Caenorhabditis elegans: one gene and its partners. The protein of the gene in region 1 interacts with the protein of each later gene in a pairwise test. Each region holds a gene or a part of one and is shown in the gene's direction. Other genes may lie near its edges. The genes, in order: act-5, cls-2 and tol-1.

Evidence for each region.
Region 2: the proteins of act-5 (region 1) and cls-2 interact in a two-hybrid assay, tested with the Caenorhabditis elegans proteins (one large-scale study listed by BioGRID).
Region 3: the proteins of act-5 (region 1) and tol-1 interact in a two-hybrid assay, tested with the Caenorhabditis elegans proteins (one large-scale study listed by BioGRID).

What each region holds. Positions count from the first base shown.
Region 1 is NC_003281.10:13,602,361-13,609,499, reverse strand, and holds act-5 (Actin), read left to right. Parts: upstream 1-3,433; coding exon 3,434-3,934; intron 3,935-4,269; coding exon 4,270-4,736; intron 4,737-4,786; coding exon 4,787-4,946; 3' UTR 4,947-5,088; downstream 5,089-7,139. Other genes in the region: shpk-1 (Carbohydrate kinase FGGY N-terminal domain-containing protein), read right to left, coding at 22-304, 463-623, 713-824, 868-970, 1,355-1,428.
Region 2 is NC_003281.10:9,052,314-9,061,428, forward strand, and holds cls-2 (TOG domain-containing protein), read left to right. Parts: upstream 1-2,734; 5' UTR 2,735-2,738; coding exon 2,739-2,831; intron 2,832-2,880; coding exon 2,881-3,682; intron 3,683-3,727; coding exon 3,728-4,383; intron 4,384-4,430; coding exon 4,431-4,814; intron 4,815-4,858; coding exon 4,859-5,242; intron 5,243-5,467; coding exon 5,468-5,908; intron 5,909-5,950; coding exon 5,951-6,079; intron 6,080-6,130; coding exon 6,131-6,313; 3' UTR 6,314-6,582; downstream 6,583-9,115. Other genes in the region: R107.5 (uncharacterized protein), read right to left, coding at 1-64, 109-209, 1,316-1,471; gst-1 (Glutathione S-transferase P), read left to right, coding at 7,044-7,178, 7,233-7,320, 7,369-7,772; lin-12 (lin-12/Notch intracellular domain), read right to left, coding at 8,089-8,211, 8,599-8,946. UniProt on the Caenorhabditis elegans protein: Probable microtubule plus-end tracking protein that promotes the stabilization of dynamic microtubules. Required for the formation of mitotic and meiotic spindles. Specifically promotes the polymerization of kinetochore-bound microtubules.
Region 3 is NC_003279.8:442,183-450,180, forward strand, and holds the start of tol-1 (TIR domain-containing protein), read left to right. Parts: upstream 1-1,820; 5' UTR 1,821-1,835; coding exon 1,836-1,927; intron 1,928-2,071; coding exon 2,072-2,194; intron 2,195-2,811; coding exon 2,812-2,902; intron 2,903-4,525; coding exon 4,526-4,600; intron 4,601-4,731; coding exon 4,732-4,869; intron 4,870-7,998.

The sequences.
Region 1 (7,139 bases):
CTATTCTGAAAAAAGACCCACAAGCGGTATTTTCATAATAATCCAGCGATGCCACGGAAGCTTGCAAATCTCCTGATGCCACGTGGCACTTGGCACCGTGCCAAGTCCCCGAAACTTCAGAGGAAGAATTTATGTCAGGTAGTTTCAGAGTTTTAGGGAGAAAATCTAAAATTTCTGACTGCCACGTAGCGTTTTCAGTACAGTAACCCCAGCTGTGAGCGTTGTGGTGAGAGATGAGGGGGTCCGGGTTTTGTGTCAAAATAGAGATGAATAGGTCCATTATGGTTCCACAATGTATAAAATTCTGAAAAAAGTCATAAATTTTGTCCGAGTTATAGGGGTATGAGCCAGGGCTGTGCGGGCGGCAAACGGCAAACAGCGAATGCCGTTCGCCGATAATAATGATTTTTTTTGACCCCGACCACTTTTTAGTTTTCTAGATTCAATGCGTTAATTTCTGACCGTTAAAAATTCCGGATTACTGTAGTTCAAAAACGCCAGCGTAACAAGACCAAACCCTGGATGCAAATCTCCACATTCCCATTTAGGAATAGTTTTTAGAAACGCTGGGAGCTCCGTAGAACTGTATGTCCAATTGTACAATGGTGAGATGGTTAGGGTCTCTGGAAATTGCATTATTTTGAATGAGAAAACATTATTATTGTTTTTAAGATACAAAAATTTTTGCAACAAAAACTCCCATTTTGTATACCTAAATCAATTTCATTCTGTCGTTGCTTCCACATGACAATTCCATGCATTTGTCCACACGTCCATATATTGGATATTTTCAGATTTCGCGATTCTAAATTAGATTTTGTTCTCTGCAAAAAAAAAATTTGTCCAGTTTTTTAGGCGGTTACAAACTTCCAACAAATCCAAAACAGTTTGAATTATAATCTTCGGATTTTGAAGTCCAGCTGCATCAGAATTGTCACCTTCGTAGATTTTTTTGAATTCTAGGATTACGCTAAAAATATAAAGTGTTTTATCTATTTACAAAATCAGCGTACTAAAATTTACACACTCAGTTTTTGATGGCACTATGGTTTGATGGTTTTTGAAAAATTGAAATATTCCAAAGAACGTATTCAAAATAATTACCTATTTATTTGACTTGAAACTTTTTTTGATGACTTTTCAGATTTTGCCAGTGTTGTACAATTATTCTATTCAGAAAAAATTTACATTTCACATTTTGGTAATAGGTTTTTTGAGATAGTTTTGATCCAATCAAAGGAATAAAACAATTAATCACTTTTGTATTTTAATTTTGTTTTTCAAAACTTGCCAACTGATAATGTGCAGGCAATTTTATTTTTATTAATTTTGTGATTATATTGAATTTTCTCACTTTTCCCCATTCCTTGCACAAATTTTAGCCGAAGTTGTGCCAATATCAATGCCAACATGAACTTGCTCCGTCATCAATGATGATAAGAGTTTCCAATTTTAAGAGGAATCGGGGGTGAGGTTTCCTGGAATGAGAAGAAGCTTGAAAATGATAAGAACGGGCATAAATAGAGAGTGAGAGGGTGCAAGAGAAACAGAAAAATAGAAGAGTGGGGGAGACTGTTTTGGAGCGTTTTGGAGGTGTGCAGAGGCGGGAGTTTATGGATTTGCATAATTGAGGAAAGAAATTGGAAAAACATTATAAATCTATTGCAAACATAAAGCAAGTATGATTATAAGATTTAAAGATGGAGTACCGAAATCTGAGACTTTGCTTTTTTTAGATCCGAAGTGACCCAAAACTACCAAATTTCGTAATGAGAAGTTTTGAAAATTTCACAAAAACAATTCGTTGATGCAAGTACATTTTCGGTCAGTGGGGCACAAAAATGTAACTTTTCTTTGAAAACTAAAAACGTTTAAGAAATGAAAAGTGTTACCAGTTGACAACTTTTGTTATTTTTAACTAGTGTAGAGTTACTGTAGTTTGAATAGTGCTACCTGGAACAAAACATTGAACTCCGATACCTCGTCCGACAAGTGATACATATTAGAATATTGCCAAAACAGTTTTTAGATTATCTTTTTTTTGTTCAACTGACAGTTATTTCTTGGTAATGAAGATTTTTCAGTAATTTAGATTATCATGTAATGATGTTATAATGTAGTTAGAAGATTTATAGTAAATGCACAAACATATAGTTTAACCACCTATAAGCCTCTACAGCCGAAAAGTTAAAATATACTATCCAACACATGAATCTACATAAATTTTGTTATTTAGTTTACAACTTTTTTCTTTTCCTTTTTGTTGCCATGTTACATACATTCCCAGGAAGCTGCCGGCTGCTATTTTCACGTTTTTCAGATTGTCGATATCTCAATTATTCCATTTCTAATTGCTTTTTTCAAAATAATAATTAAACTATTAATTTCTTCCACACTTCGACCGATTTCTCATCTTTCCTCTTTGTTATCAGTGATAAGCAGAATAGGGTAGTAGTAACTTTTACGGGTATTTTGGGATTATACGGAAAGGGTAATGTAATGAAACTTTGAATCTTCGGCACTTTCAAGATTAGCTGCACCCTAACATTAAAAAAATATAGTTTATGATCCTAAATTTCTATTGTATTTCTAACTAGCATTGACTCATTACTTATCAGTGACTCATTTTCCCAGTATGGCTTCTTTAAGAGGAATGGTAGGCGGAAACTTCAATTTTAGGGAGTATTTAAAAGTTGGAGTCAATTGGAATGTTATCACTTTATTTTTTCTAGTTTTACATTCCTAGCGCTCCAGTGACTGGCGGTAGTTGATTTTTATCTCTTGGGGGTTTTTTATCTTAGGAGGTCATGTAAAGTTGTCAACTGACAATGTATAACATTTTTTTGAAATGCTTTGTTAGTGGACCAGCCGGCTTGAGCTACTGGAAAGTTCGGGGAGCCCGGATGTAAGCCTGTTGGCCTGCATTTTCAAAAATTTCGTAGGTTTATTCCATATTTGTTATACTGATTTGAGCAATTTTATAAAATCGGCCATAGCTAACAGCCTCCCAGTGCATATCATGTCAATTGACAATTTCATGTTCTAGAATTGAGCACAAATTCTGACAGGCTGCTTACATCATGCTCACCAAACTATGACTTTGTCTGTGTGACGTGATAATTTGTGTGTGTGTGTGTGTGTGAGTGTGTACATATAACCACCACGTACCTGCAATTCTTAGAACGAAGTGAGAGAGGGAGTTATCAGTATCAAACGCACACACATATATACATACAGAATGTGGCATATTCTCTCCATTCTCTCTTTTTCTCGTTTTCCCCCCGATGGTGAGCTGGCTGCGGTACTGATAACACACTTTGCATTTTTGGGGAAATGTGGCAACATTTTCATTTTTCGGCATTTTATAGTACTCGTACATCACTTAATAACGTTTTCTATAAACTCGACTTCTTCAACCTTTTATTAATTTCAGATGGAAGAAGAAATCGCCGCCCTCGTTGTCGACAATGGATCCGGAATGTGCAAGGCCGGATTCGCCGGAGACGATGCTCCACGCGCCGTCTTCCCGTCCATCGTCGGACGCCCACGTCATCAGGGAGTGATGGTCGGTATGGGACAGAAGGACTCGTATGTCGGAGATGAAGCACAATCCAAGAGAGGAATCCTCACCTTGAAGTACCCAATCGAGCACGGAATCGTCACCAACTGGGATGATATGGAGAAAATCTGGCATCACACATTCTACAACGAGCTTCGTATCGCCCCAGAGGAACACCCAGTTCTCCTTACCGAGGCTCCATTGAACCCAAAGAGCAACAGAGAAAAGATGACACAGATCATGTTTGAGACCTTCAACACTCCAGCCATGTACGTCAACATTCAGGCTGTGCTTTCCTTGTACGCTTCCGGAAGAACCACCGGAATCGTTTTGGACACCGGAGATGGTGTCACTCACACCGTTCCAATCTATGAAGTAGGTAGATGGGTTTAGAGAATATAAGAAGACAGCAATCTTCTTTGACTTGGCGGTGTAAAGTTTTGGAGATTACGTCTGCTTCGACTAATTTTTGCAGCCAGAAACAGGCTCACAGCGCTTTCGGAAACTTTTAGTTCAGCTCAGCAGCTCTTATCCTTAGTTTTAAGTTTTTGGAACTGTAAGAACTTAGTAAGAGCAAGGCCACCTCATTTCTCTGCAAATCATAGCCTGAGCTTCTGATCTTCTTATCTGATCCACAATCTTCTTGTGAGAATTCTTTGGGATCTAAGAAATCTAGAACCTACATCCGATCTTATCTTCTAATCTTCCAGGGATATGCCCTCCCACATGCCATCCAACGTCTCGATCTTGCCGGACGCGACTTGACCGACTACATGATGAAGATCCTCACCGAGCGCGGTTACACTTTTACCACCACCGCCGAACGCGAAATCGTCCGGGACATCAAAGAGAAGCTTTGCTACGTCGCCCACGACTTCGAGTCCGAGCTCGCCGCCGCCGCCTCCTCCTCCTCCCTCGAGAAGAGCTACGAGCTTCCCGACGGACAGGTTATCACCATCGGAAACGAGAGATTCCGCTGCCCAGAAGTCCTCTTCCAGCCTGCCTTCATCGGAATGGAAGGTGCCGGAATCCACGAGACCACCTACCAATCCATCATGAAGTGCGATGTCGACATCAGAAAGGATCTCTACGCCAACACTGTTCTCTCCGGAGGTACCTCCATGTTCCCAGGAATCGCTGATCGTATGCAAAAGGAGATTCAACATTTGGCTCCAAGGTAAGCTTCACATTTCTCAGTACATGAGATTATAATTCTTGTATTTTCAGCACAATGAAGATCAAGATTATTGCTCCACCAGAGCGCAAGTACTCCGTCTGGATCGGAGGATCTATTCTTGCTTCCCTCTCAACCTTCCAGCAAATGTGGATCTCCAAGCAGGAGTACGACGAGTCCGGCCCATCGATTGTTCACCGAAAGTGCTTCTAAGCTGATTTTTTTTCAAATTTTTTTTTTCAACATGTGCCTTCCATTTCTAGGCGAAACACGATTTTACTTGACACAAATTCCATGAGATACTTCATTTTCTTTATATTTATGGTTTCTTAACATGAATAAACTTGTTAGGACCACTTGCTACTTGGGAATTGAGTAAAATTGATGGTACTTGTGTATTATTTCCCCTCATTTTTTAAAATATAATTTTAAATAAAAACGTGTGGAGTTTTTGTTTTTTAGGCTTAGGAAATAATCATTTCTAAGCCTAAAGATGGAAAATGGACATCACGTTTTATTAAAATGGATAATATTAAAATGAGGGGAAATAATGCACAAGTACCAAATTGATTTTACTTAGAAATTAAGAAAAAAAAACAAACAAATAAGTTAACCTAAACCGGATCTGCCGTTCGGCAACTCCGGTACCATCCGGTTCCCGTTTTTTTCGGTGATACAGAGCTTTCTTGATACTTTTTTGACAACTTCCATAATTTTTATCTTGTTGCAATAACTGGGAAAAAGAAATTTTAAAAAGTGAACTGAAAAATGACTCTTGAGAAAAAATGATCGTACGGTCTTATAGTTTTACTGTAAAACATTTTTGATAGTTTGCAACATCCATTTTGATTTCTTATGGAAAATCGGTTCTTTTTGCTATAGAGAGCATGCAATTCTTCAAATAAAGTTGTCTCTAACTACAAGAAACCACCTTTCTGAAAAATGAGTCAAAAATGAGTAGATACATGCAATATCGGCGGGAATTATAAATATCCATAAATTGTGCCCAATTCTAAATTCTATTGCACTAAATATCCAGATGCAAATTTTTCCGAAATTACAAAAATTTTCGAGTAGCAGCCAGCAACAAGCTTTCGATAGGTACATAGTGATTTCTCGCAGGAAAAAGGATGAATTAATTTTAAAATGTTGAGCGCGTTCACACTACATATTTTTCAAATTGCACGCAATGTTACCTGCTTTTCTCCGGAGAAAAAAAAATAGTGAACATTTAAATAATCGGAAAAAAGTACGAAAAAAATTAGGAGCCGATTATTAAACTGAAAACTCTTCTTATAGAATTCGATTAAATTTTTTGTCAATTTTTTTCTTACACGTAAATACATTTCTTCCGACTTTTTTTTTTCAAAATTCACAATTCTAGTCAGACGGTTACGGTTCATTTGTTGTAAGTTTGTATAAAAAAACATTCCAAAAAGTTTAAACGTGCCGGCCTACAGATTTCCTCAATAGTTAAAATATTTTTTTCGCGTGGGTGGTCAAACTCAATTTATTACGAGCTTGGCTCTACTCGACGAACAACTCTCGATTGCAAATTCTAATAACCGTAAGTTTCTACACAGATTTTCCAGACATGAAATAAAGTTTTAGGTAAAAATGACTCACTTGAACTTTGAAACTCGCATGCCTCTTGGAACAGCCGTCATTGATCAATTCTTGGGACTTCGTCCTCATCCGACAAAGATCCAGGCGACCTACGTGTGGATCGATGGAACTGGGGAAAATCTCCGTTCGAAAACGCGAACCTTTGATAAACTTCCGAAGAGAATTGAGGACTATCCCATCTGGAATTATGATGGAAGCTCGACGGGGCAGGCAAAGGGACGTGACTCGGATCGTTATTTGCGTCCAGTCGCTGCCTATCCGGATCCGTTTTTGGGCGGTGGGAATAAGCTGGTGATGTGTGACACGCTGGACCATCAAATGCAGCCAACAGGTTAGGAAATAAAATAAACAGGCATTTAGATGCCTGCCTGCCTATGCGCCTTCTAGTTGCTTTGCTGACTTAATGCAATAAAAACTTCATGGAACACGTAGGCATTTGCGCCTATATGAAGTTTTTTTTAAAGAATTTTCAAAATTCATATTCGTTTAACAGTTTAATAGTTCTATTACTGTTAAATCTGTCGCGGCGAGACCTACTCCAAAAATGGTGCAAAAATGGTGCTCCTTTAAGAAGTATTTTCAGCAACCAGTCATCGTCAAGCATGCGCCGAAATCATGAACGAAATCCGTGATACCCGCCCATGGTTTGGTATGGAGCAGGAATATCTGATCGTCGACAGAGATGAGCACTCACTAGGATGGCCAAAACACGGATTCCCGGCTCCACAAGGAAAGTACTACTGTAGCGTCGGAGCGGATCGTGCGTTCGGGAGAGAAGTC
Region 2 (9,115 bases), 4.6 Mb from region 1:
TTGGTCAAAGTTTGAATCGTCGTAAACTTCATCCATTTCTTCGTCGGACGATGATTCCCTGCAACTTATAATCGAACATTATTTGTCAAAAACAAGGCTGAAACGTACATATTGATTGGCGACGGTTTGTCATTTGAAATTGAGAAGTTTTCCAGGCAGGCGCTTATTTTATCGAACCTTCTCTTCGTTCTCGGAACATATTCCATGTCCTAAAATTGAAAAATTTAGAATGAAAAACTTGCAGAGAATATCATTTGTTTGCACGACAGAATTTAATTTTATCTCAAGTACAGAATGTGTTAAATTCAGAACAATTGACCAATGTTCTGACTTGTTAGAGGTGGAAAGAAAATAGGTAATCTGCTTAGAAGCGCGAGGGAACGAGCGACAAGGCACACGGCGGGTTGGCTGATGCGAGACACACCCGGGCGCCAGTGAACACGCAAGCGCGAGAGGGTGCAGAGATTCAGTGAACCGCACAGGCGACGTTACATTAGACGACAATTTTTCATGGAAACAATTGTGAGGAAACTAATGAATGACTGATGATCTGGTAAGAACGGAAAACGAAGAACGGAAAACGAAAGGAACGACTAATTTAACGAGAAATGAGGGAAAATGTGATGGAGGGAAGCGCAAATATTTGATAACGATAGACGGAGAAAGAACTGTTGAAGAATTTGCAACTGAATGAACTAATAACGTGTAGAAAACAGTTGCTTAGCAAAATAATATCGAAAATAAGTTAAATGCTGAAAATTGTACCCTAAATTCTAATCTTCTCGGTATAATTAAGAATATTAAAAATATTTAACTCGAGTTTCTCTCTTAAATAAACAAATATGAGACATTTGAAGCTCATAGAGACTACTGTGACTGAGATCGTGGCGAGACCCACTCAAAACATAACAGCGCGTGCCTTGGAACTTAAATATCGCAATTACGGTATATGATTTCTTTCGAAGAAATAAAATGAAACAATATTTAATGGAAGTAAAAATCTTGCAAAAGACCTCCGAAAAATAAGGCGACAACCCTACTCTCTCAAGAACAGGCACTCGTTTATGCCTTTTGGAAACACCAGCTGTCTCGACCACACTCAACCATGCAAACTAAATCGGGTAGCAGTTCATGAATCAACACGTGATGGCTTCATCCCACCTAGTTTATGATGTCGAAAGATTTTTTCGAATGAATCTAAGCTTTGCACGTGCTTTAATTGTTCATAACATCTCAGACTAGTTTTTTATTCAAAGTTCTTAAATCTAGTTAAAAATTGTATGATAAAATCGAAATTTAACGATGAGTCACTTACCAACTCAAATTCAACGGGAAACGGGCGTTTTCCATTTGGTTCTCGTACATAATAATGATTTTCTTCTGGTGGCTGATGTGAGTTGAAGTTGTAGGGCTGGTGAAGATTCGAATTTTGATTCGAGAACGATTCGCTGAAGTTGGTGAGTTGTGTCATTTCTGCAAAAAAAAATAAAGCATATGACTTTACACATGGAAAAGGAGAAACAGAAGAGAAAGACGCAATGCAATTTCAACTAAAAAAATTGAAAATTGAAACGGAGATAAACACACAACAACGCGGAAACAATGAAGGACAGGTTTAACGTGTCAAAAATGTCGATATGATTGCAAATTTTGGTGAGAAACCTCGATTACGGGGGCGGGAAACTCTTTTGTATGAGAATTGAGGTCTTCGGGAAGTGAGCGGATTGTTCTAGAAGGTTCGCGCAACAAACCAATCGACCACGTGGAGGAGACACATCGCTACGGTTAGAGACGCAGACAGCTAAACGCTCGGCAAGCGCTATTCAACCGAGACAGCCGAGAAGTTTCTGTCGGAATGGGAAAATATAGGCGACTTTTTCCGAAAACGATCAGTTTTTGGTAGTGAAAGTGAAGAATATGATAGTACAGCTGAAATGAATTGATTGTTTTCTGCCTGTAGAAAAACCAACCATGATTATGAAATAATCGTACAATAGAAGCCATTCAAGAATCTCGTAATTTAAAATTCGCAGTTATAATTTTCTCAGCACTCTGGCGCATTCACAAAAATTTATATCAAACAGACAGAGTTGCACTTTACAGACAGAAGCAATACACATGTGTATTTTAGAAAAACATTTATTTTAGTAAATATATTTCCTGTAACGTTTCTGATATATATTTTACAGAAGAAACGAGCGAAATCGGTGAAAAAAATCGGTTTTTTTTTAATCCTTTAATGTTTGAATCTGGCGCCGGACGCGTTTTCGTCTCGAGACCCGAGGCTGTGCCTTTAACACTTTGATGTCTCGTCTCTCTACTCTCTCGTCAGCACTATTTTTAGCCTAAAAATTTTTAAATATCATTTCTAGAATTTTCATTTGGATATGCAAAATTTTTTCATTGAAAATTGAAACGTTCTTCGCGCTTTTTTCTTATATTCTCCTTTCTCAGCTTTGGAATTCATTATTTTCTTCGAATACGATTTCCTTGAGTCTTTGGTGTGAATCATTTTTCAAGATTGAATGTCTGTTTGAATTTATCGAAATGATCCAAGTAAAATGTGCCCTCCTCACCGTTTTCGAAATTAATGCAATTGCGCTCTAGTAATGACAAATCCTTGCCGGGCTATTTCACAATTTGCGCTCGATACTGAATGTTTGTTCTGTGTTTGTAAACTGTTGGATTTTCTCATTCTCTCCATTTTTGCTTTCTTTCACAATATCTATATTTTCCAGATGAGCCGTGTCATCAGCCGATCGACTCCGGGTGGGACATGTATCGTCAGCAAGGACGACTTTTTGAAGTCGTTCGAGGAAGTGCCCAAAATGGTAAGTTTTGTTCTCGCGTATGGTCTGGTCTTACTTATTTGTTTTTCAGGAAATCTCGTCGCCCTCAGACTTCAAGGAAAAGTTGGACCAGACAATTGAAACTCTGTCGAAAGGCCAGGAAGACTGGAACAAACGAATGAATAAGTTGAAACAGATTCGCTCAATGGTGGTTCACGGAGAAGACGTTATTGGAAGGGAGCAGCTTTTGAGCCAGCTTGTCCGGCTTACCGACTGCCTGGACCTCTCAGTGAAAGATCTCCGATCGCAAATCCTGCGAGAAGCTGCGATCACCTGTGGATTCCTATTCAAACGGTTCGGGACGGATGTTCGTCAAATTGCCGAGAGATGTCTTCCATCAGCGTTTGCCCAAGTCGCTGTAAGCACAAAGGTGATGGCAACGTGTGGAGCGGTGTTAACTCTGTTTATTGTTGAATTTATTCAAACAAAACAGATTTTCACTTGCATTGCCTCCTACTCCACATCGAAGGATAAAAATCAACGGAGACAGCTGTGCGCATTGCTGGAAATCGTCCTCGAACATTGGAACGAAAAGATCAAGAGGACAGTTCTACCACAAATTGGCGAGTTGATCAAGGCAGCAATTTGCGATGCTGATCCAGAGACCAGAGTTGCCGGACGAAAAGCATTCAGCAAGCTCGATGCACTACACTCCACTGAGGCAGACAAACTATTTGCTTCAGTCGACTCATCGAAACAAAAGATGTTGCGTGCCTCTGATGCTGCATCATCAAGCACGAGCATCAATAGTGAACGCGGAACTGCACCATTTCGGTCGAAATTGTCTGCGGGCAGTATTGGTGGAATCAGAAATGCACCGAACATTTCTTCAAGTGAGTTTAAAGTTCAACATATCAATCCAATTATTTCGTTTACAGAGTTTCTTGCTCAAAGAAGTGCTTCTGCCATCGATACAAAGCAGGTGACGCGAATGGCAACATCTGTGTCCAGAACTCCAAACATTCGCCCGATGACCACTAGGACACTTTCAAAAATCGACACCTCTCCAGGAGGTTCGAAGTTTGCTAGACCAACAGTTGGAGCGCTTGGTTCTCGTACCTCTTCCAATCTTCGTGCTCGTGGAAGTGTCCCAACGTCTCAGCCTGGTTCTCGAAATGGATCACCGCCACGCCGTCCATCCGCCACAGAGGCATTTCCAGCCGAAATGCAACGAGTCAAGTCGAATCTTGGTTCTAACTCGTTCGTTTCTTCTCTGTCAGCCGAGGAAGCTACGAAACTGCAGAAGGCAATGAACACGGCAAAGGAGAGCTTGAGGCAACCATCACGCAACGATGATGATGAGTTCCTCTTGCCAAAACGTCCAACCCCACAGAAGGCAACACCACAAAAAAGTGCACTTGATACTTCCAGAGTGGAAGAAGTGATTCGTGCTTGTTCGTCGACCTCTGCAAATGAGAAGCGAGAAGGAATTAAAATGCTTGCAGGCATTGTTTCGGAGCCAAATCTCAGCAACGCCGAAATCAAAAGCCTGGGCGCGGTTCTTAACAGATTGCTCGGAGAATCCACGAACCAGGTAGAACATTTTAATTTAATAATTTTTATTGCAACATTTTATTTCAGATTGTGCTGGAATCAATCAGTTCGTTTGTCAAAACCCATCATCCCCGTCTCAGTGATTGGCTCAAGCTTGGCCTTGGAAAGCTGTTTGCAAAGAAAGGAGCAGAGATGACGTTGAACAGTAAGAAGCAAATTTCCACAACCATCAGCTGTATTCTGTCATCGTTTGATCCAACCCTGCAATTGAAATCAACATGCGAGCTGGTGTGCGATCCAATTCATCTAATGTCCCCGAAGAGTCGCGTGGTCCTTCTTGAATATCTCAATGAACTTCTTGGGAAGTATATGGAGCGAGGATCGTCGTTCAACACTAAAGAGATGAAGGCCACCATTCTCAAGATGTTTTCGTGGATGGCAGATCAGAGGAATGAACAGTTGATCACCCCGGTAATTATAGCTCTCTCTTTATTTTAGCAATATGCATTTTTCAGCATGGCGAGAAAGTACTCTGCTCACTCTTCGCATTGAACAACGCCGACTTCTCTGCACTTTTCAACGACTTCAACCCCGACTATCGCGATTGGGCATACAAAGTTCTTCAGTCTCACGGACATGATCAACACGTTCCACAACAAGATGCTGTTTCTGAAGAGGCCTGTGTGCGAGCCACGATTTCTACTACAGCTGCGCAGATAGAAGATTTCGTCGTGTCGAGGAATCTTGATATGACTCCAGTAAAATCGCCTAGCACAAGAGCCATTTCGTCGGGTTTCAAACGAGTCGATGCGGAACCACTTCGTCCTCTGTCTTCGGAAATGAATTCACAGCACAGAGACGAGGAACTCAGCTTCAATGAGTCATTCGACCGATTAAAGGTATTTAACAGCATTATATTTAAAAGAAAATGGTTTTAAATGACAAGTGGTCAGAGGATTTCGAACCCCCCCCCCCCCCCCCCTCTTTCTTCGTTTCAGTGGCCACGTAAGGCGCGTAGTTCAGCAAAGTATATTTTTCGTAGACGTTAAAAATCATTTCTACATTTTGGCTCAATAATGACCGTCAGTTTCATCCTCCTATTCTTTCTTCAAATTATTTTTCAGCTCAACTCAACAACGCATCTTATTGACGATACGTCGGAGCAGAGCAAGTACGTGGCGTCGAAGCTGGCCCAGATCTCTGGTGACATGGGAGCTCAGCAATACGAAGGACTTTTGTCGATCCAGACAATGTTGTGTGAAGGCTCATTCACTCTTTGGGAGCAAAACTTCGCCAAGCTGTTGATCGCTGTCTTCGATGTGCTCTCCAAAAGCGAATCAGACGCCAACAAGAAAGTAGCTCTGCGCGTTTTGACAAAGATGTGCACTTCGCAAGCATCGCGCTTGTTCGACTCTACGGAAATGGCCATCTGTAAAGTTTTGGATGCTGCTGTCAACTCACAAGACGGAACGATGAACGTGACCGCTGATGACTGCTTGAAAACGCTGGCAACCCACCTTCCACTGGCTAAGGTGGTTAACATCTCGCAGCTCATTTTGAATGAGGTAAGTTCAAGAATTTTTACATTTAGGTAATCTGTTTGTCAGTATTTGCAGGAGAAAGCTCAAGAACCCAAAGCAAGCTTGGTTCTGAAAATGATGACCAGATTGTTTGAAGGTCTCCAAGCCGACGAATTGAGCCCAGTGGTTGATGATTTGGCGCCATGTGTGATCAAGGTAACTATTTATCAAACATCGCAATTCATTAATGAAATTTTTACTTTGCAGTCTTACGATTCCCCATCGTCTGCAGTTCGGAAAACTGCTGTCTACTGTCTGGTCGCGATGGTGAACAAGTTGGGAATGAAGACAATGGAGCCACATCTTCAAAATCTGTCGTCTGGAAAGCTGAACCTTGTCCAAGTCTACGTCAATCGGGCAATGTCGTCCAGTTCACATTCGCACGTATGATTCGTCGTTGCAATGTAGCCCATAATTCCCCCGTATTCGTATCCCAAATTTCCCCCGTAAAACCTTATCGTCCCTTTTCTCTCATCCCTTCACTTTGTAATATAATTTTATTTGTCAAGAGCGGGTATTGCACACTTTCTCTATGCTCCTTTTAGCATAATTTCCCCCGACTTATGTCCCTTATGATTTTCGACCCCCGTATTTCTTATTTTTATTTTTATATATTTTCTTTTCTTATTTATTTTTTATATGAATATTTCTTAAATTTATTTCTTGTGTATAAGTTGAAAACCGTTTTTTCGTTCAGGCCAATATATATCTGGAACAATAGGTAAAAAACTTTCGGTATTCAATTAGCCATCACGTTTTGTTGACAGTAATCTCGTTTCAGTGTTTTTTCTGATCTGCTACCGGCGCCAAGACTAAACTATTGTTAATTTTCTAGAAACTTCTCTGGCATTTCAACGTCATCCAGAACAATTGTAATCATCTTAACAACTTTTTGTCATCATTTTCGTGCTGGCCACGTTGTCTTTCTCTTTCATTCCAGTGCTCTCTCTTGCTTGTTTCGTCTAGCACCCCTAGTACCTCCACGAACTATAAAAGCCGTTCTATTTGTCCACTTCTCACATTCGATTTCTTTTCTTAATTCTCTCTTGAAAACAAAAAAAACCAGTTTCCACATTTCAAGTGTTTGTTTTCAGTCAGTATTCACTCAACTTCGTTCAATATGACCCTCAAGCTCACGTACTTCGACATCCACGGACTCGCTGAGCCAATCCGTCTTCTTCTCGCGGACAAGCAAGTTGCCTACGAGGATCATCGTGTAACCTATGAACAATGGGCTGATATTAAACCAAAGATGGTGAGTTATTGTTTTCAAAGTTTTATTTATTTTTATTAAATGATTATTTTTCAGATCTTCGGCCAGGTTCCATGTCTTCTATCCGGAGACGAGGAGATTGTTCAATCTGGAGCTATCATCCGTCATCTCGCTCGTCTTAATGGTAACCATTTAAATGTTTTCTTCCGGTATCTTATAAAACAATTTTCAGGGCTCAATGGCTCCAACGAGACAGAGACAACTTTCATCGACATGTTCTACGAAGGACTTCGTGATTTGCACACCAAGTACACCACTATGATCTACAGAAACTACGAAGACGGCAAGGCTCCGTACATCAAGGACGTTCTTCCAGGAGAGCTCGCTCGTCTGGAGAAGCTTTTCCATACCTACAAGAACGGAGAGCACTACGTTATTGGAGACAAGGAAAGCTATGCGGATTATGTGCTGTTCGAGGAGCTCGACATTCATTTGATTCTCACACCAAATGCTCTTGATGGTGTTCCAGCACTCAAGAAGTTCCACGAGAGATTCGCTGAGCGTCCAAACATCAAGGCATATCTCAACAAGAGAGCTGCTATCAACCCACCAGTAAATGGAAATGGAAAACAATAAGCTAATTCAATTTTTTCTCATTTTGCAATCATCAAAAATTCCAGTTTGATATAATTTATTGTCTTCCTTAAAGCTTCCAATGAATCTCTGCTTCCCATACATCGTTTCAGTCGTTCGTGGAGCCAATACTCGGAAAATTATTCACTAATTTTTATTAATGTAACATTCAACAAAACATTTCAACCCGTAAGCCCATATACAATCAAGAAATGCAACAAAAAAAAGAACATCAAGTCTTATGCAAAATTTAGATGGAAACCCGTATAGCTCTAGAAAATAAGGAATTTAAATAATAAATGACGATTGTTCAGAAGATTCAAAAATAATGAGCTGGTTCGGAGTATCGCGTCATTGGTTCATTCTGCATTTGGGTGTACGATGTTGAAGCTCTTGTATACCACATTTCGCCATTTCCAAATGCTCCACATTGTGGTTGGAACTGAAAGTAACGTTATTTTAATTTATGTACGTTATATTTGAACTTTGTATATTACACATACGCGTAAAACGGTCTTGGCACGACAAATTTCTATTGAATGCGAAAAGGTGTGCGCCTTTAAAGATTACTGTAATTTCAAACATTTGTTGCTGCGGAATTTCCTTGTTACATTTATGTGATTTTATTGTTGTCCAGACTTTTAAACCATAACACTTATTTAGATTGGAAAGACTTAAAAATCCGCAAAAACACAAGATTCGAACTACAGTATTCTTAAAAGGCGCACGTTCTATTTAACAAAACTTTGTCGTGTCGAGACCGGGTACCGTATTTTTAATTGCAAAATTACATTGTTTCCCGTCTGTTCAGTTGAAGCTTAAAACTAACCGCTTCTGAGCTTCCAGCTTCAGTTTGATATTCTGGGCTCAAATAGTTCAAACTCGTCGGTGTAGTATGAGTGGTATTCATAAAATGCTGTGGTGACGGTGTTGACGTTGATCCATCCGATGGTGGAGGTGTCAGATGAGTTGAGTCTCGAGAATTGGAAGCTGACTCTTTTTTGCTTCGACTTGTCTGTTTCTTCGGAGCTCGAGTTACTTTTCTTGAAGGTTGTGGTTGATGGGTATGTTGGATGTGAAGATCCATTGAATATTCTCGTTCTGGACGACATCTATCAAAAATATCAACAATATTGTGATGGTTATTTGCTTGAGCGAGTTGACGAGCCGTATGATCCTGGAAAATTTTTAGATTAAATTGATTTTTTATATACTTCGAAACGCGTAATTTATAGGCGCAAGCATTTTTCAACCACGAAATAAGTATTAAATTCGAGTTCTCTGTCAAATTCTACCTCTAAAAAGCGTTTAAAACATGGGTTTCACCACGAAAGTTTCAAGGGTTA
Region 3 (7,998 bases), on another chromosome or scaffold:
TGACACCACACTTCCGATAATCGCTTCGTCGTCTTGTCATCATCGTCGTTTTCTTCGTCTTGTTGTCGTCCGGTCCCCACACACACATCAAAACGGCTACTTCCGACGTGTCGGTGGTTTGTGTGTGTGTCAAACGGCACCACCACAAGTGGTTGCCCTCGCCCGTGTGCTAATTCGCATTTTGTCTTGTTAATCACGCAATAGTGATAACAATCGCTTCCGGACCATTGCTAATATAATATATTGGCTACCGCGGGCATGTCTTGGCAATAACCTTGATGTCAAGTTTTATCGTTAAAATGTGAAGCTGTATGATTGCGAAAAATTTGAAGTTTTCCCATTCAAATTGTAGGCATATTTGAAAAATTTCTGAAGATTTATATCTGTCGTAAGTGGAACGGTTTATTTGGTTTCTTGGGTCTCGTCGCGAAAAGCTTTCACTATGGTTTGAAGCACGACTGGGCGACAATCGAAGTCGAAGTTCGGCAATTCGATAATTCGGCAATTATCGAGTTCAAGATTTTCGAAAGAAAAACTCAAAAAATAATTTTGAAATCTATTTATTAGTTCTGGACACGCGGAGTCAGAAAGTCCCATTTCGCTTTGATCTACGAAAAATGCGGGAGTTGAGACGCAGACATCTCAACTGATTTCGCATGGTTAAGAGTGTGCTGACGTCACAATTGTTCTGGAAAAAAATTCCCGCATTTTTTGTAGATCAAACCGTAATGGGATAGCCTGGACGTAGAACTCGCCAAATCGTAGATATATGCATAATGAAAACTCTAGAGTTAACTCTGCCACCCTCATAAAGTGAGTTAGAAACATTTCTGCTCTGAGGAACTATAGAACCCCCTTTCAAGTCGATCGTCAGCAAATTCTAGAAAGATCTGACAGTGGCCGATTTTTTAATGTTTCTAGGCCACGTAAAAAAGCTGATGTCTTGTTACTTTTCAATTCGAAAATCCCTTTTTTTAATTTTTCGGCAGCACCCGGTCCGAGCCAACATCTTCCTAAACACTTCAAAACCCCGCCCCCTTCTGCCCTCCCGGGTGTCTCCGTGTTGTTCAGGGTGTTGTCCACCCCCTAGACACCCAACTGACCATTCACCCGTCTCCTCCTCCCCCTCTACAACAACCACCACCACCTGATCCATTCCATTATAATGATATTCCGCATACTTGTCATACAGAGAATACCCGGTTTGCTGCTGCCAAACGGTTTTCATTTATTCCATTTCTCACTCCTTGATTGTTGTCAATTCTTCGATTCGATGCGGCAAAACTAGCGCCAGTGGGGAAATTGCTTTAATAGTAAACAATTTTTTTTTAAATTTCCTATATTTTTTGTATAAGATTTTCTTTTTTAATTGCAAATCCCATGGGAAAGTCTCAAATTGCATAAAATTCCAATTTGAATTCCCTCCAAGATTTCAATGTTCGATGGAGCGCACTTGAATTATTATAATTTTTATCAATGAATTTTTTTATCATCTCTGACTGATTTTTCACGATTTTTTGTGTAGTTTTAGAGGAAATTTACTGAAAAATCCAAGTTAAATGTAAATTTCCGATTTTTATACAATTTTTGGACTACTTTCCCCGCCGCCACCGCTAAAAATCCCAATTTCCTGCAAGTTTTCACCTGCTCTGACTCATTTCCGCGAGCGCGCGCGCTCGTACTTTTTATCTTTTACTATTTATTTATCTCCTCCAAAAAAAAATCCCGTTAATTTTTTTTCCCTTACAATTTCTCATAATTTACTCATTTAGTTTGGCTTAAAAAATGCTAAATTAAATTTTTTTTTCATTTCCAGATCACATGACACAACGAAAATGAGGAGAAAAATGAAGTTATTCCTATTTTTATTATTAGTAATTAATATATGTCGGTCGGCCGCTGCTAACGGTGACGAATGCCCGAAATTGTGAGTTTTTCGCTTAAAAATCAGATTTTTTTCGAATTTACTGTGAAAAAGCGGGGGTTTTGCCTGAATTTTCACTTAAAACTGCTTTTTTTTGCTAAAATCCCGAATTTTTCAGAGAAAAATAATTCAAACTCCATTTTTCAGCTGTAAATGTGCTCCGGATCCGGTGCAGCCGACGTCTAAACTCCTATTATGCGACTATTCTTCGAAAAACACGACAATTACACCTATTGCGTCGTCGAATTATGATCAGGTTGCTAATATTCGGTGAGGTTTTTTGATTTTTGAATGAAAAATTTGAGAAATTTTTAAAAATGGGAAAAAATGTGATTTTTAAATCAAGATATCGGAAAATACGAAAAAATTTCCAAGAAAATGGTGGTTTTTATCGAAAAAATGTTAAAAATGCATAGAAAATTTGGATTTTCGAGTTCGAAATTTTCTGAAAACAAAAAAAAAAGTTTTTTTTTACACTAAAACATTAAAATTGGATTTTTTTTTCCGAAAAACATAATTTTTCAATTTCTAACAGTAAAAAGCTCACAAAATTCCTTGAAAATTGACAAATTTAGTATTTTTTACACGAAAAATGCATTAAAATTGAATTTTTAAAACAATTTAAACTTAAAATAAAATTTTCATTTATTCTACACGGTAAATGTATTAAAATAATTAAAACTTCGAAATTTTAAATTAGAAAAAATCAAATTTCCTCCTTATTCTCAATTTTTTTTTACAGCAAAATTTCAGTTGAATTTTCCCATAATTTTGAATTAAAAATGTGTTTTATTCCAAAAAAAAACTATTTTACAACAAAAAACTAGATTTTTTCCCAATTTTCTATGAAAAATTTAATTTACCAATAACTTATTTTCTTTTTCCAGATCACTATTCATATCTTGTGATAATAATAATTTCCAATTTCCGGATGCCTACTTCAAGTCGTTAACCGCGTTGCATCATCTGCGGATAGTGGTGAGTTTATTATATTATCAGCTGTTCTCTACAGAACATCTGCTTTTTGCGTGTAAATTTAGAGGTCAATTTTCGGAAAAATTGGAAAAATTGGCCTAAATCTCAATTTGAAGTAGATTTTCACGTGTTCAAAAATGTTCAAAAAATTCAATCAAAAATTCGATTTTTGGAATACTTCAAAAAAATTTAATTTTCTTCGAGAAAACCGGTAAATTACAAAAAAAATTCGTTGGCGATTTTTTTCTGTAGTTTTCCAGAAAAACAAACGAAAATTTTAATTTTTAATTTTTAAATTTTCCAAAAAAAATTTTTAAAAATTCATAAATATGTCCATTTTAATTTTAAAAATATCGGAAAATATTCAAAAAATGAACTTTTCTATCGAAAATTTAACAAGAAAAAATTACGAAAAGTTCATTCAAAAAATTAAAATTCTTCTATATCTGAGGAAGGCTAACAGTAATTTTTTCCCATTTTTTGACTCTTTGAGCAAATAACCGTATCACTAATTACCTTAACCATCAAAAAAGAAAGGTGTGCCTGTCTTCTATTCATCCTCCTCTCGACACCAAATTCTTAAGAAGAGCCCCCCACTCGGATGTCTCTAATTAGGCACAAATGTTACGTCATTTTGTCATTTGTACGGCCACAGATGACCTCCGGTGTGCTTGGAGGACTGCGAGAGAGGAGGATTAAGGGGATTTTTATGTCCTACAATTGATTTTTTTAGGTCAAAAGTAGGGATTTTAAGGCCAAAAATAGAGATTTTTTAGGTCAAAAGTAGGGATTTTAAAGCAAAAAAAAAAAATTTTCGGCCAAAACAGTGGTTTTTAAGGCCAAAAAATTTAATTTTTCCGTTTATGACACCTAAAATTGGGGTGAAATTTTTTTTTCGGATAGAAATCTAAAATTGCAATTGTTAATTATTCCAACATTTTTTTTTGCATTAAACGTTATTGTAAAAACATTGAAAATCACTTGATTTATCCGAAAATTTCATTTATTTCAGATAAATATTGTTTAATAAAAAATGTGTTAAAAAACATGGTGCATAGATATATAGATAATTTTGTAGAATAATTGAAAATTGCAATTTTTAACTTCCTACCCGAGTAAACAGAATTTAAATCCAATTTTAGGTGTCATAAACGGAAAAATCCCAATTTTTGGCCTTAAAAAATCCCAATTTTTCGGCCTAAAACTCCCTAATTTTGGCCTAAATCACCCTATTTTTAGCCTAAAAAAGTCCCCTGTTTTTCCATTTTCCCCAGGAACTCGTAGAAGAACATGTGTTAGGCGTGAAGAGGTTAAGCCGATTAGCCATGTAATATTCAATACTTGAGTATAGAAGGGCCAGAAGCAGCAGCAGCAGGGGGTGCTCCAAGAGCACCACCTCAACAGATGTATAAAGTGGTTTTCGAGTAGATTTGTGGTTTTGCACACGGTGGAAGAAATCTGAAATTTGAATTTTTTAAAGCCATTTTTGTGCTGAAAAATGTACAGAATAACCGAAATTTCACCACCCTTTAAGGTACGGGAAATCTCCGGGAAAAAGGCTCAAAAATTGCATAAAAATGGAGATTTTAAAGCTAAAAATAGCTATTTTAACAAGTTTTTTTGCAGGGATGCGAGACCACACATTTCTCTGTGAAATTGTTCGAAGATTTGGCCGCTTTGAGAAGATTGGAACTCGATCAGGTACATTTTTCTTGGAAAATCTAGAAAATTTTGCTGAAATTGGCTCAGAAATGTCCTAAATAGTAGAATTTTTCATTAAAAAGCCTCTCAAAACGGCTTAAAATTAAGTAAAAATCGACATTTTTTCACAGATCTCCACCGCCTCAACCTCTTTCGAAATGACCGAAGACGTCCTAATGCCGTTGGCTCGTCTCGAAAAGTTTTCCCTCACGAGATCACGGAATATCGAGCTTCCACAGCGACTTTTGTGCTCTCTGCCGCATTTACAGGTATATTTTTGGGTAATTGATAATTCGCCAAAAAGAACAGCAGCCGAAAACTCAAATTTTTCACGAAATTTGCCGAAAAACTAGATTTGTAAAATAAAAAGAATGCAAGAATTTTTAGCTTAAAAATCTCAATTTTGAACGATTTTTAAAGCAATTTCAGTATGAAAAATCCAGATATTTTTTGGGTAAAAATTTGGTGAAAACGCGTTAAAATCTGCATTTTTGAACGAAATTCGCCAAAAATCAAGACTTTTGTAGTGCATTTTACTGTAAAAATGTATACCTATTTTCTATTTTTATGCGTACTGCGCAATATATTTGACGCGCAAAATACCTCGCAGCGAAAACTACTCTTCAAATGACTACTGTAGCGCTTGTGTCGATTTACGGGATCGATTGATAGAATATCAAAATTAGAAATAAATGGGAAACTACTGCGAAAACAAAAATTTATTTCAAAAATTGAGTCCGTAAATCGACACTACAGTAGCCATCTAAAGAATTACTGTAGTTTTCGCTACGAGATATTTTGCGCGTCAAATGTGTTGCGCAGTATGCATTCCCATCTTGTTCTCTACATTCAATTACCACCACATCTCACAGAGAAGGAATTAGTTGTTTATTAGTACGTGGGGGGGGGGGGGCTTTAAAGCTTACTACTTCTTCTTTCTTTCCACTTTCTGACGTTCAACCATCTGGTATTCCTGGCGGCGGGGCAATTGAAAATGAGAACAAAAGGACATCGATGGAGGGAGGAGGATTGAGAGTTTGGAAATTGTGAAGAATGCGCGCGGAAGGAGGAGGTCAAATATCACAAGCGCCGGAAGTTGTTGTCAGCCAGAAGCAATAAAGGCCTAATTATGATGATGATGAAGAACCTCCCTGAAAGAGAATAGCGAAAATGTGAAGTTTCCATCTCAAGGGAGCGATTTTTTAGTGATCATGGAGTCTTGAAGTGTGCACATAGTCTACGTGCCCCACAAGAGCCTATGCCTGCCTTATGCCTACTCACATGCTCACAGCCAAACTCTTTCGAAATCAGAATTCTACATTGTAGAATCTACAACACTGAAGTTTCTGCCATAACGTTGAAAATAGGCACCTACGCCTGAATACGTGCCTGATCAACATGGATGCCATATAGTCCAGGCTGTATAGTCGTAAAACAGGGATTTTTTAGGCTCATGGGTTTTTGTCGGAAAAAATCGAACATTGAGAAAACCAGAAATTTTTCAAATTTTCGTATACTATTCCACGAATCGTTTCTCCCGTTTATCGAATCTCCACGTCGCACTGTAATTTTTCAAGTATCGTTAGTCCATTCGCCCGAGAAACTCCACAGTTACAAATGCTTTGCAAGCATTTTCAAGAAACCATGGTTCCTGGCATGTTTTGGCGCATTCAATAATGCCGCTAATAATAATAATAATGCCTCCTATTATGATGTCGCGTTGTCATCGTTTGCTGCTGCTCCGTCAGATACTTTATGGGGTTGTTGTTTTCTCCCTCCGCATCAAACGACGTTCCTCTCTTCAAAATGATGATGGATATACATATATCTATGTTTATAGAAGAATTGAACCCCACACTTTACATATGAATAGATGGGGACCTTGTTACCTTGACTATCGGGAAGAGATTGAAGGTTCCAAAGACGGCTGGCTGTGGCTCATTAGGCTAAATGATGCGTGATATTATTCGCTCTACGGCACCTCTATGATCCAGGAATAGCAGTCACTGTCAACAAGAGTCACCTCACGGCAACAATACTCCGCTAATTACGGTTTGCGGCAAATCCCAGAATTTATTTGAAATTCTAACTGGGTGTTGCAGATGGGTCGAGGAAATATGATAGCAATAATTATTGTTACGTGGCAATTGTAATCCGTCAGATATCGTTTCGAGACCTGCTGACTCAAGAATGTGAAAATGGACAAATTTGGAAAATAGGTAGCGGAAAATTTTCGCAAGTTTTGAAAATTTCGGTCATGATACGATACGAACTCCTTGATTTTCACAGCCCGACAAGCCGTACGCGTACGCAATTTGTCTACCGTATACCTGAACGTTCAGGCTCGTCTATCTCGAAAACAGTTGGTCCAGCCTTTTTGTGGGGCATATAAAAAAGGTCAGAACATAAATTCTAAAATTTTTTGGACCATAGCTTGTTTCGTTATCACGCGCCCAAACCTGATCTACACTCAAATTATCAGTAGAGCGCATTTGCATGGATGTACCACTTGCCGGGCCGTGATTTTGAATGGAATATTAAATTCCACGTCACTCTAGTGAATCTCCGCTTCTCAATATGCTTCATAATTCATCAAATTCAATTCATTTTCGGATAAGCCAGTTGTAAACAGTTGTGTGTGTGTGAGTGAGCTCATCCTTCATAAAATGAATAGAGATAGAACACTGACACTCTCTCAAAGACAAGAGGAATTAATAAATATGAGAGCTCATTAGCTGCTCTTCTCGTGACTACTAATTAGGAGGGTGGTACATGAAACAGTGTATGTGTAAAGGGATCCCCGCCGCCGCCGCCGCCAATGTCTTTCGGTGTATGGCAATATCCGAGTGGTGTTCTCATTTTGAAGAGAGTATTAGGATGTAACGTATCAACTGGAGAGAGATAGTTCAAAGATTGGGGATTTGAGATATTTTAGGTGTCGAAATGGATGAAATATAAGCATAGGGAGGAAATAAATAGAAAACGATATACTTAAATAGCAATAGTTATTTGAGTTCTTACTGTAGTTTTCGCTAAGAGATATCGCGCGTCAAATAAAATGCTCTACGTACGCATTCTCATGATTTATTGTTCCCGTAATATAAACATAGCAAACATTTTTAATGTTTAAATATTCCTCAATGCTATTGAAATTCAAATTAGTACAAAGAAAGCAATTTTTCGATTTTTTTAACGAGAAAACTAAGTTTTCATCAAAAAATATGTAGATTTTGATGAAAATAATATGACAATTTATTTAAACCTATATATTTTTTTGTCCAAAACAACTTTACGAAAAAAATTTTTTTTTAAATAAAATTATTGGATTTTTCGTCAACTTTACGATAAATTCCGAAAAATTAACAATAAATATAGGAGAAAAAAATCCGAAATTAACG